Elephas maximus indicus: one gene and its partners. The protein of the gene in region 1 interacts with the protein of each later gene in a pairwise test. Links are inferred from orthologs where the notes say so. Each region holds a gene or a part of one and is shown in the gene's direction. Other genes may lie near its edges. The genes, in order: CTNND1, KCTD6 and ZBTB33.

Region 1 (10,049 bases):
CTACGGGACCCAGCGCCCACATGCACCAGGTGGGGGGCGTGGCAGCGAGAGCTAGAGGCTACGCGGCCCGTGCCACAGGCCACGCGCCGCTGTCCTCGCGCAGAGAGCGTCGCCGGGCCCGACGTCCTTCCTCCTCCCCCCAGCCTCCGTCCTACGTCTGCTAAGTACGTCATCCCCATTGGCCGAGGGCGCCTGGGGGAGCCAATCAGAGAGGGAGGAGAGCTTTGGGCGGGAGGCTACGTCTTGAGGGACTTGCGGGCTGAGACGACATGGCTGGGCTGTGAGAGGTAGCGGGAAGGGCCAGCCGAAGTGGAATTCTGAACGCCACCGTCTTTTCCCTGGGCCCTCTTAGGAACACCCTAGTAGGAGGGACAGGATACTCTATTAGGGCAGGCTCAAAGCGATTGAAGAACACCTCCTTCTTCCCCTAGGAGGAGCTGCAAATAACCTTAGTCAGGCTAAGAACTCTCCAGGCTTAATGGAAGAAAAAGCCCCCATATTCTAATCTAGATATCTCCCAAGGTCAGGGAATATTCCGGAACAAGGTCGTTGGGCTACTTTCTCAATTCAGTTTTTTTACTGATTCCACATCTCGGAGAACTGGTGACCAAGAGGGTTGCAGAAATCCCCTCAGGAGTGGCCGCTGGGGTCTGTTTAGAGGTGATTTGTTTAGCGCAGTTCCTGACTGGGAATAGCTGTTTTCACGGACGATACTAAAAATTAAGGGATTGCAAGATTAAACATTTAGAATGCCAACCCGCGCTAGAAACCTCCTGGCCAGAGCTTCCGCTGTGCGCATTAGGACCCGGAGCCTGACTTCCGGTCCTGCCCTTCAGGTGTTGTACCCTGAAAAAAATGTCTGAATCCGAAGACACTGGTAGCATAGCGTGGTAAATCTAAATAGCAGCCCACCCTGAGGCCGACTGGAAGGAGAAGAGGCAGATGCCTAAGAAAAGGAGGACCTGAAAAGTAGAGAGGTGAGTAGTACAAAGTACTCAAGTATGTCTTCGTTGATAATTGCTATCTGACCCCTTTTCAGAAAGGATTTGAGATGGCAGACCCAAATATGGGAGGACGGGCGCACCTCCAAGTTAAGTAGTAGTTCTCCTAGTTTGAGGCCTTTTTTCTTAAGCCAGAAGAATAAAAGGAGCAGAAGATTTTCAGCTGCAGTTGTCATAGTTTAAAGAGGAAGCAATTCGTGAAAGGACATGAAACTTAGCAAGAGGAGGGCAGGTTTTAGATGTTGTTAACAGTATAAAGGAAAAAAGCTGACGGCAGAACAGTACTTGTTCATGGCATCCGTTCCTATAGAATCAAGACTTAGTTCAGTAGGTGGAGTCCCATATAGGTGAGTCTGTGGAAGTGGTAAGAAAAAATAGGTATACTATATCCCCTCAGAAATATATTGTCATCAGGATGAAATTAATTTTCAAGAAGTGGGGAAGAATCCCTTTTTTTTTCTTTCTTTTTTTAATCCACCACCACTGTAGCTAAATTTTGTATTAGTAGAATTTCTAAGGGAAACGATCAATGGCCATTCCAGAGCTTCAAGAATGACAAACTTTGGATGATAACGTGTAGCCAGCCACCAGAGGGTAGAAAGGAGTAAAAATATTTTGTTTTCCTTCGTGTGGATGGCCAGTGTTTCTGTGGAGTTGATTTTGTTTTCATCTCTATTCCTTGATATTTATAGTTTTAGAAGTAGATTCAGCATAGCACAGCACTTTGCATGATACAATAATTTAAATCTCTCTCAGTTCTTCCCTAATTTTTCACCATTTTAGGGTATTTTTTTTTTTTTTTTGTGTGTGTGTGTGTATGTGGTGATGGTGGTAGGTGGGGAAGTTAAACTTTGAGGGTTGTAAAACCAAGCACTGAATGTAATATTTCATGCTTTAAAAACAAAGCAAAGCAATGCAAAGCAAAGCATGCAAAAAGAAAGAAAGAAAAAAAAATTCCACAAACAAAAAACAACCCTGTGTCTCTAAAACATATCCTCAAACCCATTGTCTTCCCTCTGTTTTGACTGCTACCACCTTCATCTACTTCCCTATCTCTGTAACTTGACCACTGCAACAGCCTTTGAACTAGCTGACTTACTTTCACTTTTGACCCTCTTTAACTTGTTATATAAGCAGCCAAATCTTTTCAAAATGTGAGTTGGATCATAGCCTGTTGTAGCCCATTGCAGTGGAATTGATTCCAACTCACAGTGACCCTATAGGACAGAGTGGAACTGTCACATAGGGTTTCCAAGGCTGTAATATGTATGGAACCAGACTGCCACATCTTTCTCTGGAGGAGGGGCTGGTGGGTTTGAATTGCCATCCTTTTTGTTAGTGGCCGAGCACTTAACCATTGTACCACCAGGGCTTCCCCTCTGACCCATGTTGTTGTTGTTAGGTGCCGTGGAGTCAGTTTCGACTCATAGTGACCCTATGTACAGCTGAACGAAACACCGCTCAGTCCAATGCCATCCTCACAATCTTTGTTATGCTTGAGCCCATTGTGGAAACCACTATGTCAATCCATCTCGTTAAGGGTCTCTCTTGTTTTCGCTGCTTCATATTCTGATCCCACTTCTCCCCCGTCCTCATTTCCAACATGCTCTGCCTGGCCTAGTATGTTTCAGCCCCACACTGCAGGGATTTGTCATTAGCAGTTACCTCTGCTTACTGCTCATATTTTTCTTCTAGTGGTTGACCTGTATTTATCACTCAAATTTCAACCTAAATGTCACCCTTTCAGAGTTTGTCTCTGACAGCCAATCTAGAGTAAGCCCCAAGTCATTCACATTCCCAACAGATTCTCATCAATCTGTTTTAAATTTCTGCATAGCATTCCATTCGACATTATCTTACTTATTAATCTTCTCTTCACAGCACCCCCCACCCCAGAAGGTAAGATTTAAGAGAGCAGGAAACTTGCCTATCTTATCATTCTCCACATCTAGAAGAGTACCTGACTCAAAGTAGCTGCTCAAAATAACCCAAGTGGAACTAGTCTTTTTATTTCCTATTAACTGAGTGTAAATAATTTTTCCCTCAGTCAGTGAGTATTAATACTCGTGATGCTTTATTTGAAGATGGCTGTTTCAAATAAATTTAAATTTTACCATTTAATTATCTTTTTTTGATTTGTGTATCATTTCATTTTGAATGTTATGTACAAATTTATTAATACTAAATGACTTGTCCAGAATTATACAACTAGTAAGCAAAAGAGAGTTCATTCACTCATTCAGCTACTGCTAAATATGAGATATAAGGCTGAGCTCTAGGGATATACCATGAACAAGAAGGACAGTGGCCGTGTCTTTATGGACTCATCTTTTGGGGGAGAGACAAGAAAACATACTCATGCATTCACACACACATAAAAACATGGAAAAAAAAGACAAAATACTTGAAAGTTTTGAGTAATGACATGTGTAAGAAGTAAACAAGACTAATCCGTCTCGACAGTGAGCTGGGCTACTAACCAAAAGGTCAGCAGTTCAAATCCACCAGCTGCTCCTTGGAAACCCTGTGGAGCAGTTTTACTCTGTCCTATAGGGTCACTGGGAAACCCTGGTCGCATAGTGGTTAAGTGCTATGGCTGCTAACCAAGAGGTCAGCAGTTCAAATCTACCAGGCGCTCCTTGGATACTCTATGGGGCAGTTCTACTGTGTCCTGTGGGGTCACTATGAGTCGGAATCAACTCAACTGCAGTGGAGTGGGTATAGGGTCGCTGTGAGTCAGAATTAATGGTAGTGGGTTTGGGTTTTTTTTTTTTAATCAAGCTCTAGAAAATTCTGTATAAAATATGGCTGTCATCTAGGAACCAATGAATAAACAAACATTTCTCTTTCTGATTGTTTCCTTTGATTATCATCTTTGGCTTTGGAACTTGCTATAGAGGACCAGGAAACCCTGGTGGTGTAGTGTTAAGTGCTGTGGCTGCTAACCAAAAGGTCAGCAGCTTGAATCCACCAGGTGCTCCTTGGAAACTGTATGGGGCAGTTCTACTCTGTCCTATAGGGTCACTGTGAGTCAGAATCGACCCAATGGCAACAGGTTTTGGTTTATAGAGAACCAGGAATAGATGGAGAGTAGAGGTAGAAGTGGGGCCCGTGTGGCGCAGTGGTTAAAGCACTCAGCTGCTAACCAGAAGGTTGGCAGTTTGAACCCACTAGCCGCTCCTCAGGAGAAAAATGTGGCAGTCTGCTTCTGTAAAGATTTACAGCCTTGAAAACCCTGTGGGGCAGTTCTACTCTGTCCTCTAGGGTTGCTATGAGTTGCAATTGACTTGAAGACAGTGGATGTGTTTCTTTTTTTGGTTTAGAGGTAGAAGATATGAGAGAAGATTCTTAGATTATGTGTTAAGGACTATTTATTCTTTGTTATAATGTACTCATTTCCTACTATTCTTTGTTTAAAGCTCGTCAAACAAGTGCTGTGATGCGTGGTTGATCTTCCAACACTTCTGAAAGAAATCGTTTTGGGCCACTACAGGCCAAATATGAGGGTCTGTAGGACTCTAAGGAGCCGTAATGGCACAGTGGTTAAGAGCTAACCAAAAGGTCAATGGTTTGAATCCACCAATTGCCCCTTGGAAACCTTGTGGGGCACTACGAGTTGCAATCAACTTGACAGCAGTGGGTTTTTGGTTTATGAGAATCTATACCAAATATGGGGGGGGGGGAGTTAGCTAATGACTACATCAGCTTGATTAGAAGGGCACAGTCATGCTGAGGGGGAGTGGAATTCCTGTTTAGACCGATAAGGAAAGGTCAGATCATAGTTAATAGTGTTACTTTAATGTATTGAAAGAATAAATGTGATACCATGAAAGCAGATGAGGAATTTGGCCTTTATCCTTAGGACAGTGTAAGGTGATGGAAAGAGCACAGCTTTGGAGTCAGATTGATGAGGGGTTCACTTCTTCACCACATGAGCTCAGGCAAGTTGCTTAACCTTGCTAAGCCTTGATTTCTTATCTATAAAATGGAGGTAATACTATCTCCATTGTGCTGTTTTAGACATTCGAGACAATGAGTGCAAAGTGCCTCTTACATGATAGACTGTCAATCATTGGTTGCTATTATTGGGCAATGGTAAGCCATTGAAAGTTTTTGGACAGGGTAGTAATAATAACTCATTCTTAATGAGTTTATACTATATGCCATACATTGTTTAAGAACTTTAACTCTCACAGTAATCCTGTGAGAGATATACAGTTATTATCCCCATTTTATAGTTAAGGAAACTGAGGCTCAGAGAGATTATCTAACACGTCCAAGGTCACATAGCAGTACACTTAGTCGAGTAAATACGTGTACTTACAGAGATAGACCTTGAAGCTAGGTGGTCTACCTGCAGAACCTATGCTCTTAACCACTATTATAGATTGTGAAAACTTTATGAAAAAGATTAATTTGGCTGCAGTCTACAGGGCAGAGTTTGAGATTCTTCAGTAAGAAAGAAAAAGGAAATCTTAATTCATCATTAGTCACTGAATGATGGTAAAATACTAATCTTTGTCAACCATATTTAAAAAAAAATTCAGCCCTTGCCCTTCATGGTCTTACAGTCTAAGGACATATTAAGAATATCTCTTAACTCAGAAGAGGAATACCCCTATAGTCCTTTATTCAGGTCAAGTGTCAAAAGACAATGTATGAACATCATCTTGAGCTTGGAGTTCACACTGAAATAGAATTTTCTTCACGTGAGACTTGGTCTTCCTTATACATGCTGTATTCCCTCTAAATATATTGCTCAGTATTGGATTCCGTTTACTTTTCCTCTCAAACCCACATTATTTTGATTTGGGGTCAAATGGGAACACAGTGATATTACTTAGCAGCCCAGTGGATTCAGCGCCCTTCTAGTTGAAACTGTAGAGACTAAACACTGTTAACAAGCCCAAGCATTTATTTTTTTCTAATTAGCTCTAATGCAATTAAACCAAAACATTGAAATTGAGAGTTTACCTCCCAGATATCCCCTCCCCATCCCATTGGCACACAGTAGTCCTGTTGTGAGGATTTGTCTCTCCTTCCCTTCCGGTCTTCCTTTGAGGTAGAAAGCAACAAATGAAACACCAGCAGGCAAATAAAATCAGCTCTTTTCTGTTTCCCCACCTGGAAAGGAAGGGAGAGGGAGCAAGAACCCAACCATCAAAGATAACTGGCTTGGATGTGCCATTCTTAGAAGCCCTTGTTCCCTCGCCCCCCGCCCCCCCGAAGCTCTGCAGTAATTCCTCGGAGATTGTATAGTCTCTGCTTTAAATATATATATATGTATAACTTCCCCCTGTCTCTTTCTCTCCTCCTCTCTCTCTTTTTTTAATTTCCTATAATAAAGTTTCCTATTGGATAAGGTCAGCTCCCTGATTTATGCCTGGCTCCTATTGGAAGTTCTCAGGGGCTGACATCACTTAGGAAAGCGAGGGGGTAGGGCTGCCAGATCAGTTTGTCACCACCCAGGCTCCCTTGCCTTTGGCTGGGTGCAACTTCCATTTTAGGTGTTGGATCTGAGAGAAAAAAAAAGAGAGAGAGGGAGAGAGAGAAAGAAGAGCAGGAAAGATCCTGAAAGGAGGAAGAGGTGGCGAAAAATCAACTGCCTTCCTGGATTTGTCTTTCTCAGCACATTGGCGAAGCCTTGGGTTTCTTTCTAAAAGGATTGGTTTATAGAAGTCCACGTTTGAGGTGTGTGCCTTTTAAAACAAAAATGTGTTACAGAAGGGGAACGGAGGGTAAACCAGTCGAATTTTTGTTTTATGGTAACCAGAGGGAATTTAAAAACGAGAGCGAGTCTGCTATGCTGAGGGGTGACTTTTAAGCAATTATCTTTTTCTTTCTACCTTCAGTACTTTGGGAGATTTTAGTATTTTAGTAATATTAAAAAAAGGCAAAATATGCAAGACCTGGAAACAAACTTCTAGGTCTCTCTAATACAAGGAGACTCTAGATCCAGAGGGGTAAGAGCAGTTCTGTAAATTTACATTTTTGTGTGTTCTTTGATTTTGTATTTTTTTTTTTCTGGATTTAGCTAACATAGTTCTGTGCTCAGAGCCCAAACCAAAAATTGGTTTTTTGGCATGTTGCGTGTGGGTTGGGAAAGGAATTTGTCCGGGTTGGGAGCTAGTTTTACAGATGGTTCTTCATATGTTTCAGAACTTCTTTTTTTGTTCTTTTATCGTTGAATTTGTGGAAGTGGAAAGTTGCAGGGAGCTTTGCAGTGTAAATGGTGGTGTTTTCTCCCCGGAGAGTTTGAACGGCCCAGATCGGTTTCTGCCCTGCTGTTCCTGGGTGGATCCGCCTTTTACTTTTCCAGGTGCGGTGGGTGGGAGCCTTACTCCTGCTAGACGGAGCCTCCCTGTTTTGCCTTATAAAAGAAAACAAATGGTTCCATGTTAACTGAATTGCCATCCCCGCCTTCCTCCTACAACTCCTTTGATGGCAGAGATTTGTGGAGGTGTTGTATGTTAAATCTGCAAATACGATAAACGTTTGGTATATGTGCTTAAAGGGATAAGGAAATTCTAATCATGCCTTTTAGTTCACCTGAGTAAAGTAACAACACACCTGAAAGTATTTTCAGCTTTGTGCTCTCTGAGAGGGCAACGGATTAAATAAGGTTAGATTAAGAGAAACCACTTAAACAAACTTTAGTGTTTAAAATGCATTTGAGAAAGCCCAAGGAGAATTTGTTTTTAAACCAAACAGAAAGTTGTTTTTTGGAGGTGAGTTTTTTGTCTGGTTAATTTACCATGAAATCAGAAATGTGTAAGAGCTGAAGGCCCATGTCTGCTTTCTTATACTTAATCTTAGGATTTGTTTTGTTTTTGCAAATATATTCTTACAAAAATACTGGTTCTAGAGAGTTATATAGGTAGCTCATGAAGAGCTGAAAAGTGGGACGTTCTCTTCCTTCTGTCTCTGAAAATGCTAATCAGTCTGAAAATTACAGCTGGAATAGATACTGCTCTAATGGTAACAAGATGGGCCTTAATGTGTAGACTGCTCATTAGCTTTAAGCTGGCATGTATCTTTAATAATTCCCTGATTCTACCCCCTGCTTCCCAATTCTAGAACACTTCCTTGGATTTCTTTTTAATAGAATGAGGGTATTTCTTGAAAGATGACTCATCCTTCTAACGTTGTGGTTTCAGAGGAAACAGAACTTTGTTCCTCTTTTTGATACAATCTACACAAGGACTATAGCAAAGGTTTAATGCCTCGATCTCATAATTGTACCAAGTGCAGTTAAAAAAAAAAAGACAACGTGTACAATCTGTTGGGCTGGAGTTCTTGTTTAATATTTTCTAAATTTTCTTTCCAGTGTTCTATTTGCCTTGACACCAGCCTAGGGAGGTTTCTTGTTGGTCTTTGGAAGGTTGGTCATGTTGCTGCCAGAGTGTCGGTTTCCCACTCAGCCTTTAGGGGGAGGGATGAGGGAATCTGAAGGAGTACAAAGGCAATTTGAAAATAGGTTCTGGATGACTGAGTGGTGGTGATTTGGGTCTGGCTTTAAATACTGGGCTTTGTATGGAGTATCCTAGATAACAAGCATCCAGAACCGTTTCTACCAACTGAAGGCTTTGCTTTGACTGGTGTGTAGTATAGAGCCTTTTGGGTGATAAGAGGGAATATTTATCTTTTACCTCACTTCCATTAGTTCTTTCGGGAAATATAGTATGGGGTGGGGATAAGTAAATCTTTTACATGTATATATATATATATATACACACACACACACATGCGTTTGTTTTGTTTTGCTCCTCGTTTTGCTTTTGGGGTAAGAATGAAGACAAATATGAGTTATGCAGATTGTCCTTTCCTCGTTTGACTCCTATAGACTGTTGGTTCCTTTGTTACATGTGTTCCAGGTGGGATGGGTGCCTTCTGGGAGGTGAGAGTTCTAGTTTCTTTCTTAGGGTTCCATTTATGGAGAGTCAGACGAGAACATGATCTCTCAGCTAGCACAAAATTGGGACTATGGGAGACCTATTAAAAAAACAAACAAAACTCCAAGCAATTTCAATCCAGCCTTAGGTATATGAGGTATTTGCTCTCTAGGGGTGGTGAGATAGGATGGATACAGATAAATTAAACATAGATCACTATCAGTTGGAATAACAAAATGATTACCTCCGTATAATTTATTGCCTTCTATTTTGGTACCTGATGATCCCGTTACTAACCTACCCACCTTTTTTTTTTTTTTTTGAAGAACTATGGCTAGCATTTTACATGTACTATTAATTCCCTACAACATCCGTTTTTTAAGAAAACTGAGCCTCAGAGAAACTTGACGTTTGTTGAAAATCTTTACAAAGTCCATGGACTTAACCACTAATACATTGCCATTCTCTAGAGAAAAACAGCCAGAACTAAAATGAGCCCTTGCTAGTCTTTGCTAGTCTTCCAGGTTGGGGTAATGTATGTAAAAGATCTGTTTTCCTTAAAGCCTATGGCGGCTAGATATGCTAGAGTGGATATTATTTAATTTTTTTGGAACAGATCTTTCCAAATATGTACCATTACTGTCCTAATTTCTTAAACTCCCCAGAAATGCCTCAAAGTCATTTGATCATCGATGGAGTTTTCTTTTTTCAGAGGATTTTCAGGCATGTGGTTTGGAACGATTTTGCCAATTTGCTAGGAGAGTCTTATAGCAGGTAGTTCAGGTAGTGTATGTATTGTACTGTATTATAATTGTCTACTCATTTTTGACTTTTCTACTATAATGTGAGCTACTTGAGTGTAAAAAAAAAAAAGCCAAACCCAGTGCCGTTGAGTCGATTCCGATTCCGACTCATAGCGACCCTATGCGACCCTATCTATAGGACGGGGTAAGACTGCCCCGTAGTTTCCAAGGAGCACCTGGTGGATTCGAACTGCCGACCCTTTGGTTAGCAGCTGTAGCACTTAACCACAATGCCACCAGGGCTTCCGCTTGAGTGTAGGTACTGTGTTATCTCTGTATCCTTTTAGCACCTATCTTAACGTCTGGTACACTAAGCGAAGTGCTTAGTAAGCCTTGGTTAAATAAGGCACTTG
Region 2 (10,009 bases), on another chromosome or scaffold:
GGACAAGCTGGCAGGGGCCAGATCATGCTGGAGGGAGTTTGAATTTGACCCTGAAGGCAATGGAAGCCACTGAAGGAATTTAAAGCAGGTGAGGTGACACAACCAGCCTTGTGTTGTTAAAGGTGACTCACACTGGAGAGGAGGACAGGACAGGCTGGTAGTGTGTGGGCTGAGAGAATGAGGGGCTACTGCAGGTGCCCGGAATGGGCAGGTTGGTTGGACCAGCGTGATGGTGGTTGAGATGAAGAGAGAGAGAAGGAGAGATGCATCCCAGCTGCACTGAGGAGGAAGACTTGGCAGGGCTGGATTATCTGGCACTAGGAAGTGAGGGGGTGGGAGGAGCCCACATGACTCAAAGCTTCTGGGCTGGGCAGATGGATGGATGGTGGCACCATTCACCGAGCTGAGCTGGGGACTCAAGAGGTTTGGGGGTGGTAAGGAGAGAGTCAGGTTTGCACATGTTGAGGGTGAGGAGACTGGTGGTGGACCATCGGAGTATGGACTATGAGGGAGGAGAAAGCCACAAAGCCAGCCGAGCTGTATCCAAATCTCTCCTCCCACGCTCAGCTGTGTGGTTTCAATCAAGTTATTGCACCTCTCCTTGCCTTGTTTTCTCATCTGTACAGTGAGATGTTATAAAAGACCTCTTTAAAGTGTTAAAAAGCAAGGCTAAGGTGCACCTAACCCAGCCATGATGTTTTCAATTGCCTCATATGCATGCGAAAGCTGGACAATGAATAAGAAAGACTGAAGAAGAATTGGTGTCTTTGAATTATGGCACTGGCGAAGAATATCGAATATACCATGGACTGCCAAAAGAACGAACAAATCCGTCTTGGAAGAAGTACAGCCAGAATACTCCTTAGAAGCAAGGATGGCGAGACCATGTCTTACATACTTTGGACATGTTATCAGGAGGGATCAGTCCCTGGAGAAGGACATGATGCTTGGCAAAGTACAGGATCAGCGGAAAAGAGGAAGACCCTCAACGAGATGGATTAACACAGTGGCTGCAACAATGTGTTCAAGCATAACAACGATTGTGAGGATGGCGCAGGACCGGGCAGTGTTTGGTTCTGTTGTACACAGGGTCATTATGAGTGAGAACCGACTTGACGGCACCTAACAACAACAACAATGGGATGAGGAGGAGGCTAATCTGTCATCAGAGTTGCTGTGAGCTTGTGGCAGCCAGTCTCCAAGATAACTCCAATGATCACCACTCTTCCTATTCATACCCTGTGTGGTTTCCTCCCACACTGTACTGGGGTTCCTCTGTGTGACCAAGAGAATGTGGCACAAGTGATGACATGTCACTTCCGAAGCTGGTTTACAAAGACATTGTGGCTTTTCTGTTGTATTCTCTTAGATCCTTCACTCTGGGGGAAACCAGCTGCCATATCATCAGGAGAGGCCCATGAGGTGAGGAACTCATGCCTCCTGATAAAGGCCATTGTGAGTGAACTTGGAAGTGAATTCTCCAGCCCTAGTCAAGCCTTCAGATGACTGCTGCCCTGGCCAACATCTGGAGTGCAAGCTCATGAGAGACCCTGGGCCAGAACCACCTACCCAATGTGCTTTCAAATTCTTGACCTATAGACACTGTGAGATAAATCTTAAGCCCCTAAATTTTGGGGTAACTTGTTATACAGCAATGGATAGCTGATACATAAGGTAAAAGCTTTTAGCCCAGTGCATGGCACATGGTAGAGGCTATAGAATATGTGGGATCTGTAGGTCTGGAGTTACAGAATTCTGGGCTGGAGGTGTGGATTTGGGAACCTTTGGCTTAGAGAGAGTAATGGCTGAGGCAGTTCATGGGTAGGGACAGAGAAGAGATTATGGCCTGGAGGTATGGTTTTGGGAACCTTTGGTTTAAAGAGAGAAATGGCTGAGCCTGTCCACGGGAAGGGGCAGAGGGAGAGGAGATTATGGCCTGGGCCTGAAACCTGGACATAAGAGGTGGGCAAAGCAAGAGGGACATCCCTGTGAGCCTGAGTGGAGGAACTTCAGAGGAGGGAGGAAAACTGGAATAGGACGTTCTGGAAGCCAAGGGGAGTAGGCAGTGGTCAATTGCATCACTGCCGAGAGGCCTCGGTGGGGCTCTTTTCGCTTCAGCAACAACAAGGAGGTTCCTGGTGCCCCCACTGAGGACCAGTTAGGTGGAGAGGTGGATCTTGTAGCCAGGTTGAATGTTATAGGTTGGGATGTTAGGCAGAAGTCAGGAAGACAGCAAAAGAAGAAAAGGAGGAGGACACTGGAGTAGCAGCCTGGGATGGGGGGAGATAGGGTTGAGGGGGAGATCTGAAAATTAACATCAGATAGAGCCCTGAAGCTGTTTATCTGCTGGTGGCAGGGGGCCTGGAGAGACGAGGGGCTGAAGATCTGAGCCTAGAGAGGTAAATGGGCTGGAAAGTGGACAGACCCAGAGACAGGGAGGGGATCACCTGGACAGGAGGCAGAATCCCTCAGCCATCCTATGAGAGGACAGCACAATGCAGGTAAACCCAGAAGTGGGCAGAGGAGGGAGGGAGCCAGGGAGCCCCCACTGAGGATGCATCATTTTCCTGCCAAGTGGGAGGTGAGGTCACCCATGAAGAGAGAGCTGGGAGGAGGGGAAGGGGGGAGACTCAGAACTTCAGGCCTAATTTCCATCTTGGTCTGAAAGCACCAAATGGTTTTGCCAACTGCTGCCTCCCTCAGTGTCCTCCTGGGCCCCTGTGCATCTGTAGCCATGTAGCTGCCATAGTAAACAGCCCCTTCCAGGCCACCTCTTCATCACAGGAGCCTGGACACTTGAAGGCCACCTGGAAAAGAGAGGCCCAAGGTCACAGGGATGGCTGCAAACCAGAAGCTGGCTTCCTCCACAGGCTAGCAGCCCTGAGCTCTGTGGGGGTAAAACAGCTTCTAGTGTAAATCTTTTCCATCCCCACCCCTTCAAACCAAGAGATCCGGACAATTTACAGGAGAATCTCACAGAACATTCAAACCACAGCAAACCCCAGTCTTATAGAAGCTGCTCTAGTAGAGAGACCCTGATTCCTTAATTTATTTTATGAGGCTCATATAACTTTGATAGCAGACAAGGAGAGACTAAGAAAGGAAAAGAGTAGGCAAAACTCACTCATACACCCAGATGCAAAAACTTGAAATAAAATAGTAAGTGGAATTTGACAGTATATTAAAAAAAAAATACACCCTCAGGGTTAGTTTATCCCAGGAATGTATGGATGGTTGGTTTAATATACAAAAATCCATGAGTGCAATTCATTATTTTAGGGGGAAAAAACCACATTTGTTAAATTTCAACACCCATTCATAATTACACTAAATAACCCAATAGCGCTTCCTTACTCTGATAAAGCAGATCTATGAGAAATCTACCACAAACACCACACTTCATGGTGAAACATGAGAAGCAGTCAAAAACAAGACAGGAATGTACACTATCATCACTGCTACTCAACACTGTGTTGGAGGTCTTAGTGCAGTAAGACAAGGAAAAGGAAATAAAGACTGGACAGGCTAAGCTGGCAAACTGTCATTGCTTGTAGGCCCTTTGATTATTTACATGGAAAATTCAAGAGAACCTGCAAACTAATTATAACTAAAAAGAACAGTTTATCAAGTTTGCTGAGTACAAGGTCATTATATAAAGCCATTACATTTCAATAAGCCATCAATAAATTATAAAATATAAACAAAAAATGTAATTTGCAATAGCAATGAAGGCTTCATCTTGGAACAGGTGTGACAAAAACACTGCCAAAGTGAATCTCTTTCATTCTTTAATTGGGAAAACAGGAGCCTCAAGAGGGGAAGTGACTCTTCCAAGAACATTCTGGATTCTCAGTGGCACCAAATCCTGAAGATTTGAGTGCTAGGTAATTTCAGTATTGTTTTGCTTTTGTAAAAAGAAAGAAAGAAAATATAGAAAATTCAGAATATTAGGAATTAATGTCCCTCACACTCCCATCCTACAACCTAGAGAACTATGATCCATGATCTGGTGTTATTTCCTTCAAAATTTTTGTCTACCTATATTTATGTTTTAACAAGATGGATTGCCACAGTGGCTGCAACAATGGGCTCAAGCATAACAATGATTGTAAGGATGGTGCAGGAGCGGGCAGTGTTTCGTTCTGTGGTACATAAGGTCGCAATGAGTTGGAACTGACTTGATGACACCTAACAACAACAACAAATTTATGTTTTTAACATTAAAATTATACTACGTGTAACATTTTGAGTACTGGTTATTTTCACACGCATTTCCCTGAGTCCTCACGTAGTCTTTTCACACGTCAATTATGTCGGCATAACTATAACACTCAATTATGTTCCCGAAGCATGTTATTTATTTAGCCTATCAATTTGAGTTTTCTGAGAAAAACCAAGTATCAGATATGACTGTGATAGAAGTTGAAACCCAGACATGCAATTCGATGAGCTTCTGAGGCCGGTGGTTGTCCTGATGGAGACGAGGAAATGGCAAAACGAAAGCCTTATAGCTGGCCTGGCCTGGGAAAGCACAGAGATCTAGATCTAGGGACAGAAAAAGAAGGAAACAGGACTTGGGAAGAGGGGGCTGAGGACTAAGTCCATGCTTGGAGACCAGCTCGCTCTGAGGCTTTAAGTGGCTTCCCAACCTCTGCAGCCTTGTCTTTCTTCTTAGTGAAATGGAGACAATACCCCCACCAGCCTCACCTTGGGCAGCTCCCAAGCTCCTTCAGAACTCAGAGCCTTTGCACTCTTTTCTCTGCTGACAGCCCTGGTGGCGTGGTGGTGAAGAGTTCGCTGCTAGCCAAAAGGTCGGCAGTTGGAATCCATCAGGTGCTCCTTGGAAACCCTATGGGGCAGTTCTACTCTGTCCTGTAGGGTCGCTGTGAGTTGGAATCCACTGCAAGGGGTTTTGGTTTTTCTCTGCCCTTCTCCCCAACTGGCTGCCTATGCTGACCCATCAGGCCTAGCTGCCCTGCCCTGCCCTGCCCTGCCCTGCCCTGCCCTGCCCTACCCATCAGGCCAGGCTGTGGTGGCCTGGGGCTTTCTCACAGCCCATATTACACCTGTAATTATATAATAGCCAGAAGCTGCTTGAGTAAGGGTGGCCTCCCCCTGGAGGTCAGGGCCAGGAGGGGCTCACCACAGATCTGGGCATCCATGTCTTCCTTGGCCACTGCATGTGAAGCAGCGGGCCCTTCCCCTTATTTTTCATCTAAGTCCTCTGATCACACCCCTCCTATCACTTACCATAACTTGTCATTATTTTGCTTACTCTCTGTTTCCTTCAGTCTTGTCTGCTTTCTCCCCTCGCTAGGATCCACCTCTGTCTTGGTGGTCGGTCCCCCCTCTAACCCCCAGGTTTTGCACATGGTCCGAAACCAAACCAAACCCGTTGCCGTCGAGTCCTACTCATAGAGACTCTATAGGACAGAGTGGAACTGCCTCATAGAGTATCCAGGGAGCGCCTGGTGGCTTCGAACTGCCGACCTTTTGGTTAGCAGCTGTAGCTCTTAACCACCAGGCCACCATGGCCAGGGGCTTATAAATGTTCACGGAGCGACTGAGGAGAAACAACCGTGGAGCCACCAAATCTCCGTGAATGGCCGGCCTGAGGATGGGCAGAGCCCCGACTGCCCGCGGGGCGGGGCGGGGCGGGGCGGGGGGCGGGTCCTCTGGGCTATGGGGCGGAGCCATGGGGCTGCGGGGCGGGGCTTTGAGGCTGCGGCGGAGCCGGCCTGACCCAGCCGCCTAGGCCCTGCCCGGCTGAGCAACTCAGGCCCCCGGGTCTCGGGCTTCCCGCGCACTGCCGCCGCTGGGGGGCGCCCGCGCTCGAGGCGGCTCGGCTCGGGAGGCGCCGCCCGCGCCGGGCGGCTAGTGCCGCAACTCCGGGTGCGGGCTCAGTCGTCCCCTCTGCCGCCGCCGCTGCCGCCGCCGGGCGCGGGCTCGCTCGTCCCTGCGCTCGCGCTCTCGGGCCGCCGGCGTCTCCCGGCCCGGCCGCCGCCGCCGCGCAGTGAGTGGGGCGGGCACGGGGCCTGAGGGGCTGGGGCTCGGGAAGGCCGGCTTGAGGGGAAGCCCGCGGGAGCTGCCGGGAGCGGGCTGAGGAGAATCTGGGCGGGGGCGTCCGGAGCCGGGCGATGGCGGGCGGCGCAGAGGGCACCGCGGGGAGCCTGGCCGCGCGCCCCGGGGCGGCGCGAGCGCACGGAGGGGCTGCCCGCGGCCGAGCGGCCGGGCCTGGGTCTCGGCGGGCCCGGGGTCCCCGCGGTGCTGTGCGGCCCCCACCCGGCCCGGAGCATCGCCCGCCCCACGTCGGGACCGGGGTCGGCTGGGGTTTCGCCTGCGGGGCGGCGGGGACCCGGCGCGTTTGCTCGGGGTGATGGGTTTGCGGGGAGTGGCTATTAGCCGGCGCTTGCCCCACTTTAAGGCGTAGGAGCCCAGGCTTCGGGAATTTTCTGCCCCGGAGACACCCAGGTGTGCCGCTGAGCCCTCTGTGCCCAGATTTGCGGGTCTGGCGTGTTTCAAGGCTTGATGTCACGGGTGACAAATGGCCGTGGTAATCGGGAGCCCCCGAACCGCCCGCCAGGCTGACGGTAGCGGGGTCTGGGTCTGGGGGTAGGACTGGGAAGACGAAGCGTGACAGATCCTATTTGGATATTCCTCTGAAGTTAGGGTTCTGTTCAAGTCTACCGGCTCTAGAACACAGTTTTAGGACTTCGTGATAGAAGAGGTTTGGGGTGGCCTGGTTTGACGAAGAATGTTTGGGGTCACCTAGCCATTCCCATCCCTCCTGGCATGTTCATTTCTTGTGTCACAAATGCATGACACGAATGATTCAGTGATAGGAAAGAACTTAGGAACAGCATTTAGCGCAGACCTGAGCCCAAGATTGAGACGTTTCCAGATGAGCGAAGGTGTAGAAAGGAAAATAATCTTTTTGTAGTCAGGGTTGGCAGATTGGGGGAATTGGCTCTTTGGTTGAAAACATCAGCCCCAACCACTACTTCAGTTTGTGTAATCCGATGGATATCAAGGATCGAGTGGTCAGCGTGGCCATGGGTGCCGTTCCTCAATTGTGTAAGGTTAGGATTTTCATAAATGACATTTTCAGCGAAGCATTACTAGCGACAGAAATCCTAGGGTGAATCCTTCTCTGCGTCTCTCTCTTGTGTCTTTTGGATTTTGATATTTAGGGTTTATTTGAATTGGAATGCACACATTATTTCGATCTGGCTTTCCCTCAGAGATAATCCTGAGTCATGCTTTAGAGAAGTTCCTGCCATCATCAGAGCTCAGACGTCTGTCTGGTGGTCTCTGGAGAAGCTGGATCCTCCTCCTTACTGGTGGTTCTCTTTTCTGGACCTCTGGGGGAAAGAAGGACCTAGTGGCGACGGAAAGCAGATTAAGAAGCGTTTTCCTCCGTATTTGTTGTTTCCATGTAAATGCTCTAAGTTACTTGTGTTCACACTCTCTGATTTCTCAATTTACCACAGAAAATTAGTTGATGCTACTGCCACTAGTATTTTTCCACTTGTATAATACTTATCTGTTTACAAGTGCCTTTGTATTAATGATCTCACTTATTTTCTCCATTTCCCTGAAGAAGAAGGTGCGTGTAGACAGTGATTTACCTTGCAGGGTAATGCGGATCCTGATCTGTTGGTTACCTTGTAGGTCAGTTTTTGCCTTTGTGGTTGTGCCTAACATGGTGTAATTCCTTTTAGGAAGTCGATATTATCCTGTTTCTTCATCTCAAAGAAACTTAGAGTAAGGAATTTTATGATTCTGTGACTGGGGTGGCTCAGCTATCTAGTATTAAGGCCACTTTTTTTTTTTTTATCTAGAGCTGCTTTCTTCTAGACCACAGGGTTGATAGAGGAGAGAGAAAAATGAATTCGTTTTAGAAAAATATCTATTTCTGCAGTGGTATGGCTATGGATAACTTAACACTCTAATCACATTCTCCTTGTGCTTCTGGCTACTCGAGCTGGCCTGTGTGAATGTTAGCCCCAAAGACTCCTTTAGATGTCGCTGAACTAGTTACTATAAAAAGTGTTTCACTTTCAAACTCCCACCTTTCAAGAACAGAGAAACTCAACACAAAGGTAATTGAAGTATGTATAGATGGGAGAGAACTTGTCTTAGTCTTCTATTCTGAATGCCAGACCCAGGAGTTTAATAGAAAGGCTTTGAAAGGACCTCTGGAAACTTGGGAAGGTGGTAGCTAGGAGTTTTTATTATTATTTATTCACATTTGGAGATGTCTGTTGTAAGGAAGAAGTTGTTAACGCAGGAGTAGGACTTTTGCCCTAGGGAATTCTGAGTCTATAGCACAAATGATAAACCCAAAATATTTGTGTTAAATTAGCTGTTCATAACCATAAAGCCGGTCATTGCAATTCTGCAGGGATGAGGAGAATGGCATTTAGGGATTCTTAGGTTATTGTCTAAGTTATCAACATGTTGAATTGTGCATTCTTCAAATTTGCTACTTTATAAATTTTTCACAATTGCTTTTACACTCTGCACTATGTGTTTTCCTTAATTACCTGCTAACATTTACTCTGTCAGAAGTTCTGTAGTCATAATTAACTTACAAAGTTCAAACTTTCAGTGCCACTTAACGTTCCTGGGGAAAGGCCAGCGGGTCGTTTCCACAGGAATTTTTATTTGCACCGCAGGTCAGAATTGCAGGCACAGATCTTTTCAGGTGAGCTGATTTTTTCAGGGTCAGAAGCCTTTCTTTGAACTTTATAATCCTTTGTGCTTAGTTGCATTCACTGTGTTTTAAAAAGATCTTTAGTAAGGAAAGTCACTATAAAGGAAAATTTTTTTTCGTTGTTACCGTCTTAATCTTCATTCCTGGCAAATTTTCAATAGAATTTTCTTTGCCATCACCAAGTAAAACAGGCCCGTTTGATGCCCACTTCAAGATCTTCCGTCTGTTGCCTCTTGTGTTCATTTGACTTCTCATTAAGCCCTCCACTGGAGACTGTGCCAGAAGAGAGAGAAGAGGAAGAGCAAATGAATCATTTTCTAATTGTTAGCAGCTCCAGAAAATGATTTAGTATGAAAGACTGAAGCGGTTCCGGAAACCCTTTTGAATTATGTTTTATTTCACTCATCGGAGCTGTCTGTTGAGCTGTTCCCAATAGTCATCAATTCAGAGACTGGTTACCCAGCTACTGGATAACCAGGAATCTTTCTGCTTTTTTTTTGGTTTGTTTGTTTCTGTAAGTTGAAATACAATTTAAACCAATCAATACTATTTTTTTTCCTTAATGGGTCTTTAGTGAGCAATTTGTTTTTTGTACAGTTTAGTCATTGTTAATAAGTGTATTTTAATATATCTCATACACAAACCTAGGGAGTCTTTTCGGTGTTTTTTAAGAAACATGGACTACTTATATAGACTCCATAATTGCTTTCCTGAATTATAAAGCTTGAGGTTTCATTACATCTTTTTTCCGGAACCTTGCCTTTTGCTGTGGAGTAGATTTAGGGTCATCATCTATTTTTCTTTTTGTGACTGCTCGAGAAGTTATCTTGTTTTGATTAAGCAGTAGAAAAGAAAAAAAAAAGGATTAATAGGTCTTGTACAAGAGTTGTAACATTGATGGTGTCTTTTTTTTTTTTCCCCCTGTCTTTGGTCTTTCATTTCCATTTAACCAATCAGATGTTCATGGGCCAGAGTTCTTTATGTCACTTAATACAAAGGACCACAGCCATCAATCACATTAGTTAGTAGGTTCCTGCCATTTCTTAGCCTTGGAGAAATTTTTATAAACCTATTATGACTACTCACATAGACTGAGTTACTGATAAATTTGTAAATAAACCCCTGCTTTTGGTTTTAGGGTGGATAGGTAGATAGGAAACCCTTGTGGTGTAGTGGTCAAGTGCTACGGCTGCTAACCAAAGGGTTGGCAGTTCGAATCTGCCAGGCACTCCTTGGAAACTCTATGGGGCAGTTCTTCTTTGTCCTATAGGGTTGCTATGAGTTGGAATTGAC
Region 3 (9,873 bases), on another chromosome or scaffold:
TTGTTCTGACTGATGATATTGAGCTTTTCCATCGTCTCTTTCCACAGGTGTAGTCAATTTGATTAGTGTGTTCCATCTGGCCAGGTCCATGTGTATAGTCGCCGTTTATGTTGGTGAAAGAAGGTATTTGCTATGAAGAAGTCGTTGGTCTTGCAAAATTCTATCATTCCATCTCCGGCATTGTTTCTATCACCAAGGCCATATTTTCCAACTGCTGATCCTTCTTCTTTGTTTCCAACTTTCGCATTCCAATCGCCAGTAATTAATGCATCTTGATTGCATGTTTGATCAATTTCAGACTGCAGCAGCTGATAAAAAATCTTCTATTTCTTCATCTTTGGCACTAGTGGTTGGTGCGTAAATTTGAATAATAGTCGTATTAACTGGTCTTCCTTGTAGGCATATGGATATTATCCTATCACTGACAGCGTTGTACTTCAGGATAGATCTTGAAACATTCTTTTGGACGATGAATGCAACACCATTCCTCTTCGAGCTGTCATTCCCAGCGTAGTAGACTATATGATTGTCCGATTCAAAATGTCCAATACCAGTCCATTTCAGCTCACTAATGCCTAGGATATCGATGTTTATGTGTTCCATTTCATTTTTGATGATTTCCAACGTTCCCAGATTCATACTTCGTACATTCCAGGTTCCGTTATTAATGGACGTTTGCAGCTGTTTCTTCTGATTTTGAGTCGTGCCACATCAGCAGATGAAGGTCCTGAAAGCTTTACTCCATCCACGTCATTAAGGTTGACTCTACTTTGAGGAGGCAACTCTTCCCCAGTCATCTTTTGAGTGCCTTCCAACCTGGGGGGCTCACCTTCGAGAACTATATCAGACAATGTTCCGCTGCTATTCATAAGGTTTTCACTGGCTAATGCTTTTCAGAAGTAGACTGCCAGGTCCTTCTTCCTAGTCTGTCTTAGTCTGGAAGCGCAGCTGAAACCTGTCCTCCATGGGTGACCCTGCTGGTATCTGAATACCGGTGGCATAGCTTCTAGCATCACAGCAACACGCAAGCCCCCACAGTATGACAAACTGACAGACACGTGGGGGCTTAGTCATCTAGTGCTATTATAACAGAAATACCACAATTGGATGGCTCTAACAATGAGAAGTTTATTTCCTCACAGTTAAGTAGGCTAAAAGTCCAAATTCAGGGCATCAGTTCCAGGGGAAGGCTCTCTCTCTCTCTGTCAGCCTTCTCATCAACGTTCCCTCAGACTAGGAGTGTCTTCATACAGGGACCCCAGGTCACACTCCGCTCCCAGTACTGCTTTCTTGGTGGTATCGAAACAGGCAGTCATGAAAGGGTTATTAACCATCCCATAATAGTTGTTTTCAGAAAAGTCTACTTTTGCTACATTTTTGTTACAACTTTTACAGCACTTCATCAGGATTGCTCAAATCCCCCTTTCTTCTCTTCTCCTGACAGGAGGTTGAGGTGCAGGTGCGCTGACTCTAAATTTACCCACTATATGACCTTCCTGGGGTAGCAGTAGCAAGCAGTCTCCATTTTTTTAGGGCTCTGCACAGTATTTTTAGAGCCATGCATAAAACTCATTCACTAAAATTATGTGGACTGCACCCACATCAGAAGATTAAAGATTCTGCACTTGCTGTTCATGCATATGTATGTCACCTATAAAAGGAGTAAATGTGCCCTGCTTTGGGGAGCTGACAGCCTTAGGTCAGCAGATCCTCCCTGCCTGCCTCCCAGTTTGCAAACTGTGAATAAACCTTTCTGTTCTTCCAACCCTGCGTCTGGCTGACTTCAATTCGCTATTCTGCTTCACAAGAACCTATTAGTTGATGGCTTCAGTATGAGGTCCCCCTGTCTCTCTGTTCATTCTCTTCTATGTCTCAAAAGGGATTGCCTCAAGACACAATCCAATCTTGTAGGCTGAGTCCTGCCTCACTAACACAACTGCTGCCCATCCCCCCTCATTAACATCATTAAAAAAACCATTGCCGTGGAGTAGATTCTAACTCCTAGGGACACTATAGGACAGAGTAAAGCTGCCCCATTGAGTTTCCAAGGATTTGAACTGCTGACCTTTTGGTTAGCAGCTGTAGCACTTAGCCACTACGCAAACAGGGTTTTCCCATTAACATCACAGAGGCAGGATTTACAACATGTAAGAAAATAACACAATACCGGGAATCATGGCCCGGCCAAATTGATACACAATTTGGGGGGGAGGGTCATAATTCAATCCATGACAGCGATCTACCATTTATTGGGTCAGGAAGGCTTCATAAATAATTTAAGGCTTGAAATGGACCACATCTACCACAGCCTCCAGCAGGCTGAGTCCATAACAACTAGATGGTGCCTGGTTACCACCACCAACTGCTCTGACAGGGGTCACAAGAAAGGATTCTGAACAGAGCTGGAGAAAAACGTAGAACAAAATTCTAACTCAAAAAAAAAAAAGGATCAGACATACTGGTCTGACAGAGACTGGAGAAAGCCTGAGAGTACGGCCCCCGGACACCCTTATAACTCAGTACTGAAGTCACTGCTGAGGTTCACCCTTCAGCCAAAGATTAGACAGGCCCATAAAACAAAACAATAATAAATGGGCACAGCAGCCCAGGGGCAAGGATGAGAAGGCAGGAGGGGAGAGGGAAGCTGATAATAGGGAACCCAAGGTCGAGAATGGGAGAGCGTTGACATGTCATGGAGTTGGCAACCAATGTCACAAAACAATATGTGTATTAATTGTTTAATGAGAAAGTAATTTGCTCTGTAAATCTTCATCTAAAGCACAATAAAAAACAAAAATTCCAAATTCTGAATGGACATTTTTGAATGTAACGAGCAAGTAAAATCATGCTCTAGAAGAGAGGTCAGCATCAAGGGAAGAATATTCAGATGTTTAAAAGTTTGTTTTCAATTTCACTATACCCTGGGGCAGTAGTGGAGTGGGTTATACCCTGGTACAAAATACACGTACAGTCTATAAAAATAATAATAATAATTTAATGCTTGAGTTGGGTCTTTATGGAAGATCAGGTACTTGCCAGACAACAGGAGAGGCAAATTGTGGATAAGAATAGAATGGCTATTCCAGGCTCAGAGTTACAGGCACAGACATAGATGCAGTAAACAGCATGGCATATTCTGGGAACTGTAAGCAGTTTGACACTTTAGCTAATTCATTTAATCCTCAAAACAACCCTATAGTTGTATTTTTATCCCTACTTTACAAATGATGGACCAGGAGCAAGGTCACAGTAGTAGCATATGACACACCAGAATTCTAAACCACCCACATCTGCCCCTTGAGCCTTTGTTTTTTCCATCATACCATACAGGGGTTTCTTCTTATAATTTTCTAGTGGCTTTACCAAATCTGTGACCCTAAGCATAGCTCAGAGGAAGGGTTCTGGGACTGAATTAATGCCATTTTGAATCTTTCATCACCAACAATTAATATATATATACACACACATATATATATACATATACATATATATATATGTGTATATATTAAGCACCTGCAAGATTCTTGGCATTTTACCACAGGAGAGGGCAGTTGCTACCCTCATGGAATTCACAACCAAGTTCAAACAAGACAAGCAAACACTGACAATGCGGTTATAAAACCTGACTGATCCATTATTTGCCAATTAAAAACCTTTCTGGAATATGAAACAATTGCTATCTCCAAATCCATTTAACATAGGCTCTTCTCTTTAAAATCTACTGGGTTATTTGAAAGAGGGTTAAGCCTACAGATAAAAAGAAAGTGAAAAGTGAATTATCTTGCTCACTAGTAAACTTGTGGAGAAGTAGAAAGTTAACAAAACTTTCCAATGATCCTGTCCCAAAGACAATTATTGGGGCCACTCAAGTTTCTTGATCTGCTCTGCTTTCCTACAAATAAAATTCCTTTCCTGATCATTAAAAAAATTTTTTTTCCTGATCATTAAAAAAAAATGATCATTAGATTCCCTTTAATTATAGACAGCTTTTTTAGTTTAGCAAACCCTGGTGGTGTAGTGGTTAAGTGCTATGGCTGCTAACCAAAAGGGTGGCAGTTCAAATCCACCAGGCACTCCTTGGAAACTCTATGTGGCAGCTCTGCTCTGTCCTATAGGGTCGCTATGAGTCAAAATTGACTCGACGGCAATAGGTTTGGCTTTCTGGGGTTTTAATTTGGAGCCCCGGTGGGGCAGTGGTTAAGAGCTAAGGCTGCTAAACAAAAGGATGGCAGTTCAAATCCACCAGCTACTCCTTGGAAACCCTATGGGGCAGTTCTACTCTTTCCTATAGGGTCGCTATGATTCTGTATCAACTAGATGGCAATGGGTTTCTTTTTTTAATTTTTTTTTTAGTTTAGTTTTTGCTGTGTTGGAGGAGGGTGAGGGATATGACCAGTGGGGAAGAGGTGTCCTGTACTGTGAACGAACAGGTTTTCATTGTACCTCACCTGTTGTTTTTAGTTACTGTTGAGTTGATTCCCATTCAAGGCAATCCCATGGCAGTTGAATCCCACTCAAGGCAGAGGAGAACTGCACTCTGTGGTGTTTTCCAGGCTGTGACGTTTCCGAAGCAGGCCTCTCTTCTAAGGTGTCTCTGGGTGGATTCAAACTACCAACTTTTCAGTAGTTGAGCATGTAACCACTTGTGTCACCCAGCAACTCTGTCTCATTTTTAGTTTTGGTCAACTAAGCTACTGAAACCACCACCAAACCCACTGCCATCGAGTCGATTCCGACTCATAGCAACCCTATAGCTACTGAAAGATGGACATTTTCAGCAAGATTTTTATAAAAAAGAAGCACAGAGATTCCAACTAAAAGGCAAATAGGTGCAAATTCAAGTTTTTGAAAACGTATGCAATATTATTCTATACATATCTTTGGAAAAAGGAAATGGAGGTAGTGAGTGGCCTTAATTGTTGCAGAAGAAGCTGCTATCTGGTTCCTTAGCTGAATATGATCAATACCAAGCCTAAAGGGAAATAGTTTGTTCTCCAAATATCCATCCTGTTGCTTCATTCATCATGGTATTCAGTCAGAAGTGTGTTGCCAAAGGATTTTTTTAAAATGATGGATCTCACAACTCATTTGTTCACTCATTTAAGAATTACTGAACAACAACAAGCAGGTGGTCAGTAAACAGTTGCATCATATGGTACTCAATTAAGAAGACAGTACTTGTTCAAACACTAACTTTTTATCTTAAAAGTAATTACTATAATGTAGTTGTTTTGTTATCCTAGAACTTGAATTATCATAATGTGTTGATAAATTTTGATTATATTTATTCAGATTATACTTCAAGGTGGTTATCAGGAAACAAGGTCCTTGGGTGGTGCAAATAGTTTGCACTCGTTGTACTAACCTGAAGATGGGCAGTTTGAATCCACCCAGTGGGACCACAGAAGAAAGGCCTGGCAATCTGCTCCCGAAAAGATTAACCTGTTGTCGTCTAGTAGATTCTGACTCATAGTGACCCTACAGGAGAGCAGAACTGCCCCATAGGGTTTCCGAGGAGCGGCTGATGAATTTCAAGTGCCCACCCTTTGGTTAGCAGCCCAGTCTTAACCACTCTGCCATCAGGGCTCCTCCGTAAAGATTACAACCTTGAAAACCCTATGGAGCAGTTCTACTCTGTAACACATGGGGTCGCAAAGATTCGGAATGGACTGCACGGTAATGTGGATTATGCAGCAAACAGGCTAATAGAGCAGTTTCAAACTTGCAACAGAAATGAAAATTGTATAGGGTCTAAAAGTTTTTGGGCCCTAGAAGTTTACAGTGCCTTTTAGATTAAAGCGACAAGATTCCCTCCCATCCCAACTGCTTGCGACTGCATTATCCTGTCTTTTCCTCTTCCTTTTTCCCACCCTTTCGCCCTCCGGAAAAAGGAGATTACTCCAACAGTTTCCCAGTCTTCCTCCGCCCCTTCCGGAAAGAGCCGAAAGCCGAGTAGCGCGCCGAAGGGGAGCCACCTAGGGTTCGGGCCTTTCCGGAAGGGCCCGAACTGCGCCCGGAGGAGGAGGGAGCCTTTAAGTTCAACGCTTCACCCCCGCGTTGAGCCCTCTGTCGGCGGCTTGGGGCAGCTGTGGCAGCGGCAGCAGCGTCGACGTCGACCAAGACTGGAGCGACGTTTAAAGCAGCAGCAGGATCGCCGGGGAGTCCCGCTTCTTGTTGTTGGCGGACTCCCACCCTTCCGCGCGGCCCGAGAAGAAGCGGCGGCGCCAGGAAGCAGGTGAGGAGCCGGCCCCAGTCCGGGAGGGGCGGAGGAGCGCGCCTGCTTCCTCGGTCCCTGGGCCGCGCTGCCGTTTGCATTCTCCTCTCTTGAACCAGGAAGCGCCGGCCAGAAGCTCCCCTTCTCTGGCCCTTTCTTTGTGTGGGCCCCGGAGTGAAGGAGGGGATGAACCAGGAGGGCCGCGGCGCGGTCCCCATCGCCGTCAGGGCCCGAGGGGCCGTCCGTGCTCCGGGTAGGCCCGGGGCGTAGGGAGCCCGCCCCCGACACCCACTCGGCCTTTTCTTGCCCCTTTGCCGGCCCTTTTCTGCCCCCTTTCCTCCTCCTAGCCCCCACTTTGATTTCGAGCTTCTCTGCCGGCCCATCCTCCCCTTCCGCCCCCTTCCCGGGGCTTAACAATGCCGCCTGCTTTGCCGCGCCCCCCCCAACACCCTACCCTTCTGTTCGCCAGCTTCTACTTTCCCTGGCACCCCTGATTCTCCCTGCTGTTTGCACCTCCGCCTGTCTGTGCGAGCAGCCGTCTTTTCACGGAACTGAGGTTCAAAACCTCGGCTGCAGCCGGCTGGGTGCAAAGTGGGAAGAGGGAGGTGGAGGAGGGGAGATGGGGTTCAGCTGCCGCAGGGAGCCGCGTGTCGGATTGTTTCACCCCCTGGCCCATGGCTTTTCTCGCTCTCTTTTCCACCTTCGCTAGCCCCTCCCTCACCTACCCTCGGTCAAGGATTCGCCTCACAACGATGCAGAATGCCTTTTCCAACATCAGGTCGCAAATCTTGGGGGTGGGTTCTGACTGACCTGACGTAGAGGAGGGGAGACCTAAATAAAACAAAACCAAGTCTCAGCGTCACCTGGACGTATACATTTGACGCGTGCTTATATTGGAAAAACTCATTTGTAAATGACAGAAATTGTGGGAGCGTATTCAGAAAATGTATCCACTTGAAAAGTGACTTCTGTCGAAATCTCCGTATTTCGGAAGCCCTGGTGGTTGGCACGCTGTCCAAAGGTCACCCTTTCCAATGAATGTCTTCATGGTAACCAGGAATTCCTTGGTACTGTTAACAAGCAACACCTTCTAACAGAGAGGTTTTAAATCCTTGCTTTTTACACTTTTTGCTATTTATTGTTGTTAAACTATAATTTTGAAAAATTAAGATATTTGAGACGCACTACCTTCCACGTGTGTAGTATTACTCACATAACTTAAGCACTGTGACAGTGGCACTATTTTGGTAACTTTAAAGGGAAAGAATATTAATAGAACTGTTTCTTTGCCAAAAGTACTTAATAAACTAATTGTTAACATCTAATATGTATGTATACATACATACACATATACATATGTACGTGTATTTTTTTCCCCCGCACAACTCTCAGCATCATTGTTAGAATGTCTTTTGCGAAGTGCAAAAAAAAGCGTTTTGGGGATGATGCATGGCAATACTATAAACTGGTATTCCCTCTCCTTTTCTAAAATAATGTCTGCTCCGTTCCAATAATTTAATGTTTTCATCTTCACTACCTCATTTGATATGAAAAATGTTCTCATACCAATGCCCATAATTCTTTACCAAGAAAATAAAGTATTTCACGTTTTCATGCAAGTAAGCATTGAGAAACAGTAAGCTTTCCTTTTCCTTTGTCTTTTCACAATAGCATCTGTTGACTTGGCATTGTGTTTAACATTCCACCTCTGGAGACTATAAAGGTAGAGAGGTGAGGGGAAGGGGCAAAAGGATGAAGAAAGAGGAGACAGTAAGAAAGACATTTAATATTTTATTGAGATGAGGCACTTCATTTAAATAACAGAAAAGTAATAGGAAGTTGAAGGGTAATGATTATCAGTGTTTTTAAATGCTGATTAAGTTGTAGGCTGCGGGGAGTAGCTTTTGAATATATTCTTAAGAATAAGATTATTGTTGTGTGCCATAAAGTTGATTTGACTAATAGAGACCCTATAGGGTTTCCTACGCTGTCATCTTTACAAGAGCAGATCGCCAGGTCTTTTCACCCTTGGAGCCACTGGTGGGTTTTAACCATTGACTTTTCAGTTAGCAGTGGTCGAGCTTTTAACTTGCGACACCAAGGCTCCTAAGATAATTTGTTAAAATTTAGAAAGAATATATGTTTTGCATTCAGTTTTATATATACCAAGCTTTTCTGACTAATTGATTCAACTATAGATGAAATAACTTCTATATGTACATGATGAAGGCTTTTCTTAAAACAAATTTTTAAGAACGTTAAAATGAACCTTGAAAACATGCTGAGTGAAATAAATCTGTCACAAAAGGACAAAAATTGTATGATCCCACTTATATGAAACATCTGTGTAGGCAAGTGTATAAGTGGTTACCAGGGGTGGGTGGGTGGGTGGGAGGGAGGGAGAAAAGAAAGCACAAGGCTTGGGGGCCACTGAGCTTCTGTTAAAGGTAACAGGAAAATTTAGGAATGGATAAGGGTGATGGTCGAACAATTGAACATAATTAATGTCACCGAACTGTAAATGTGAAGATTGTTGAAATGGCAAATGTTTTGTTACCTAAATATTTACCTAAAACCAAACCCACTGCCGTCGTGTCGATTCCAACTCATAGCGACCTTGTAGGACAGAGTAAAACTGCCCCATAGGGTTTCTAAGGCTGTAAATCTTTACAGAAGCAGACTGCCACATCTTTCTCCCATGGAGTGGCTGGTGGGTTCAAACCACCTACCTTTCGGTTAGCTGCTGAGTGCTTAACTACTGCGCTACGCAGTGGCTCCTACCAATATATTTACCACAATTTAAAAAATGACCCCCCCAAAAAGTTAAAAATTAACTTTTATCTTTTTGAAAAAAAAAAAAAATGAGAAGACCCAAAATTGGGGAATAAGAAAATTAATTCTAATCTTTAAAAATTGTTAATGGGTGTATCTGAGTGTCAAGGGAAAGTGGCTATGGAGATTACTATTTGAATCTGTAGAGCAATTTAAAGCTTGTTTGGCCCTTCTCTGTAAAGTAATAAGATTTGACACGTGGTCCAAAAACCAGCCAGTATGAACAATTCATATAAAAAGCCAAAAAGTTAACACCAGCCTTCTGTTAAAGCTTAAACTATTTAATGATGCCGTGGCTTAAATTCTGAATGATAAAATACTTTTGATTTTCCTGCCTAACCCTGTCCCTCTCCTGGCCCCTCTTCCTCCCTTTCTTTTGTAGGCATGGAAGGTAGAAAACTTATTTCTGCTACAGACACTCAGTACTCTGGAAGTCTGCTTAACTCCTTGAATGAGCAACGTGGCCACGGACTCTTCTGTGACGTTACCGTTATTGTGGAAGACCGAAAATTCCGGGCCCACAGGAATATTCTTTCAGCTTCTAGTACATATTTCCATCAGCTCTTTGCAGTTGCCGGGCAAGTTGTTGAACTGAGCTTTATAAGAGCAGAGATTTTTGCGGAAATTCTCAATTATATCTATAGTTCTAAAATTGTCCGTGTTAGATCAGATTTACTTGATGAGTTAATTAAATCAGGGCAGTTATTAGGAGTTAAATTTATAGCAGAGCTTGGTGTCCCATTGTCACAGGTTAAAAGCATCTCAGGGGCAACTCAGGATGGTAACGCAGAAACCGTGCCTCCTGGTTCTGATGACAAGAACCTTGA

What was found.
Region 2: the proteins of CTNND1 (region 1) and KCTD6 interact in binary tests that used the Homo sapiens proteins (3 or more experiments, as listed by UniProt). The two-hybrid records come from large-scale screens. The link is inferred for Elephas maximus indicus from reciprocal best matches to the Homo sapiens genes CTNND1 and KCTD6.
Region 3: the proteins of CTNND1 (region 1) and ZBTB33 interact in binary tests that used the Homo sapiens proteins (3 or more experiments, as listed by UniProt). The link is inferred for Elephas maximus indicus from reciprocal best matches to the Homo sapiens genes CTNND1 and ZBTB33.

What each region holds. Positions count from the first base shown.
Region 1 is NC_064825.1:119,133,501-119,143,549, forward strand, and holds the start of CTNND1 (catenin delta-1), read left to right. Parts: upstream 1-6,445; 5' UTR 6,446-6,692; intron 6,693-10,049. UniProt on the Homo sapiens protein: Key regulator of cell-cell adhesion that associates with and regulates the cell adhesion properties of both C-, E- and N-cadherins, being critical for their surface stability.
Region 2 is NC_064838.1:63,070,725-63,080,733, forward strand, and holds the start of KCTD6 (BTB/POZ domain-containing protein KCTD6), read left to right. Parts: upstream 1-6,256; 5' UTR 6,257-7,019; coding exon of another isoform or gene 7,020-7,079; 5' UTR 7,080-7,207; coding exon 7,208-7,435; intron 7,436-7,841; exon of another isoform or gene 7,842-7,997; coding exon of another isoform or gene 7,998-8,102; intron 8,103-8,678; coding exon 8,679-8,707; intron 8,708-10,009. UniProt on the Homo sapiens protein: Probable substrate-specific adapter of a BCR (BTB-CUL3-RBX1) E3 ubiquitin-protein ligase complex mediating the ubiquitination and subsequent proteasomal degradation of target proteins.
Region 3 is NC_064846.1:36,474,883-36,484,755, reverse strand, and holds the start of ZBTB33 (transcriptional regulator Kaiso), read left to right. Parts: upstream 1-5,866; 5' UTR 5,867-6,235; intron 6,236-9,428; 5' UTR 9,429-9,430; coding exon 9,431-9,873. UniProt on the Homo sapiens protein: Transcriptional regulator with bimodal DNA-binding specificity.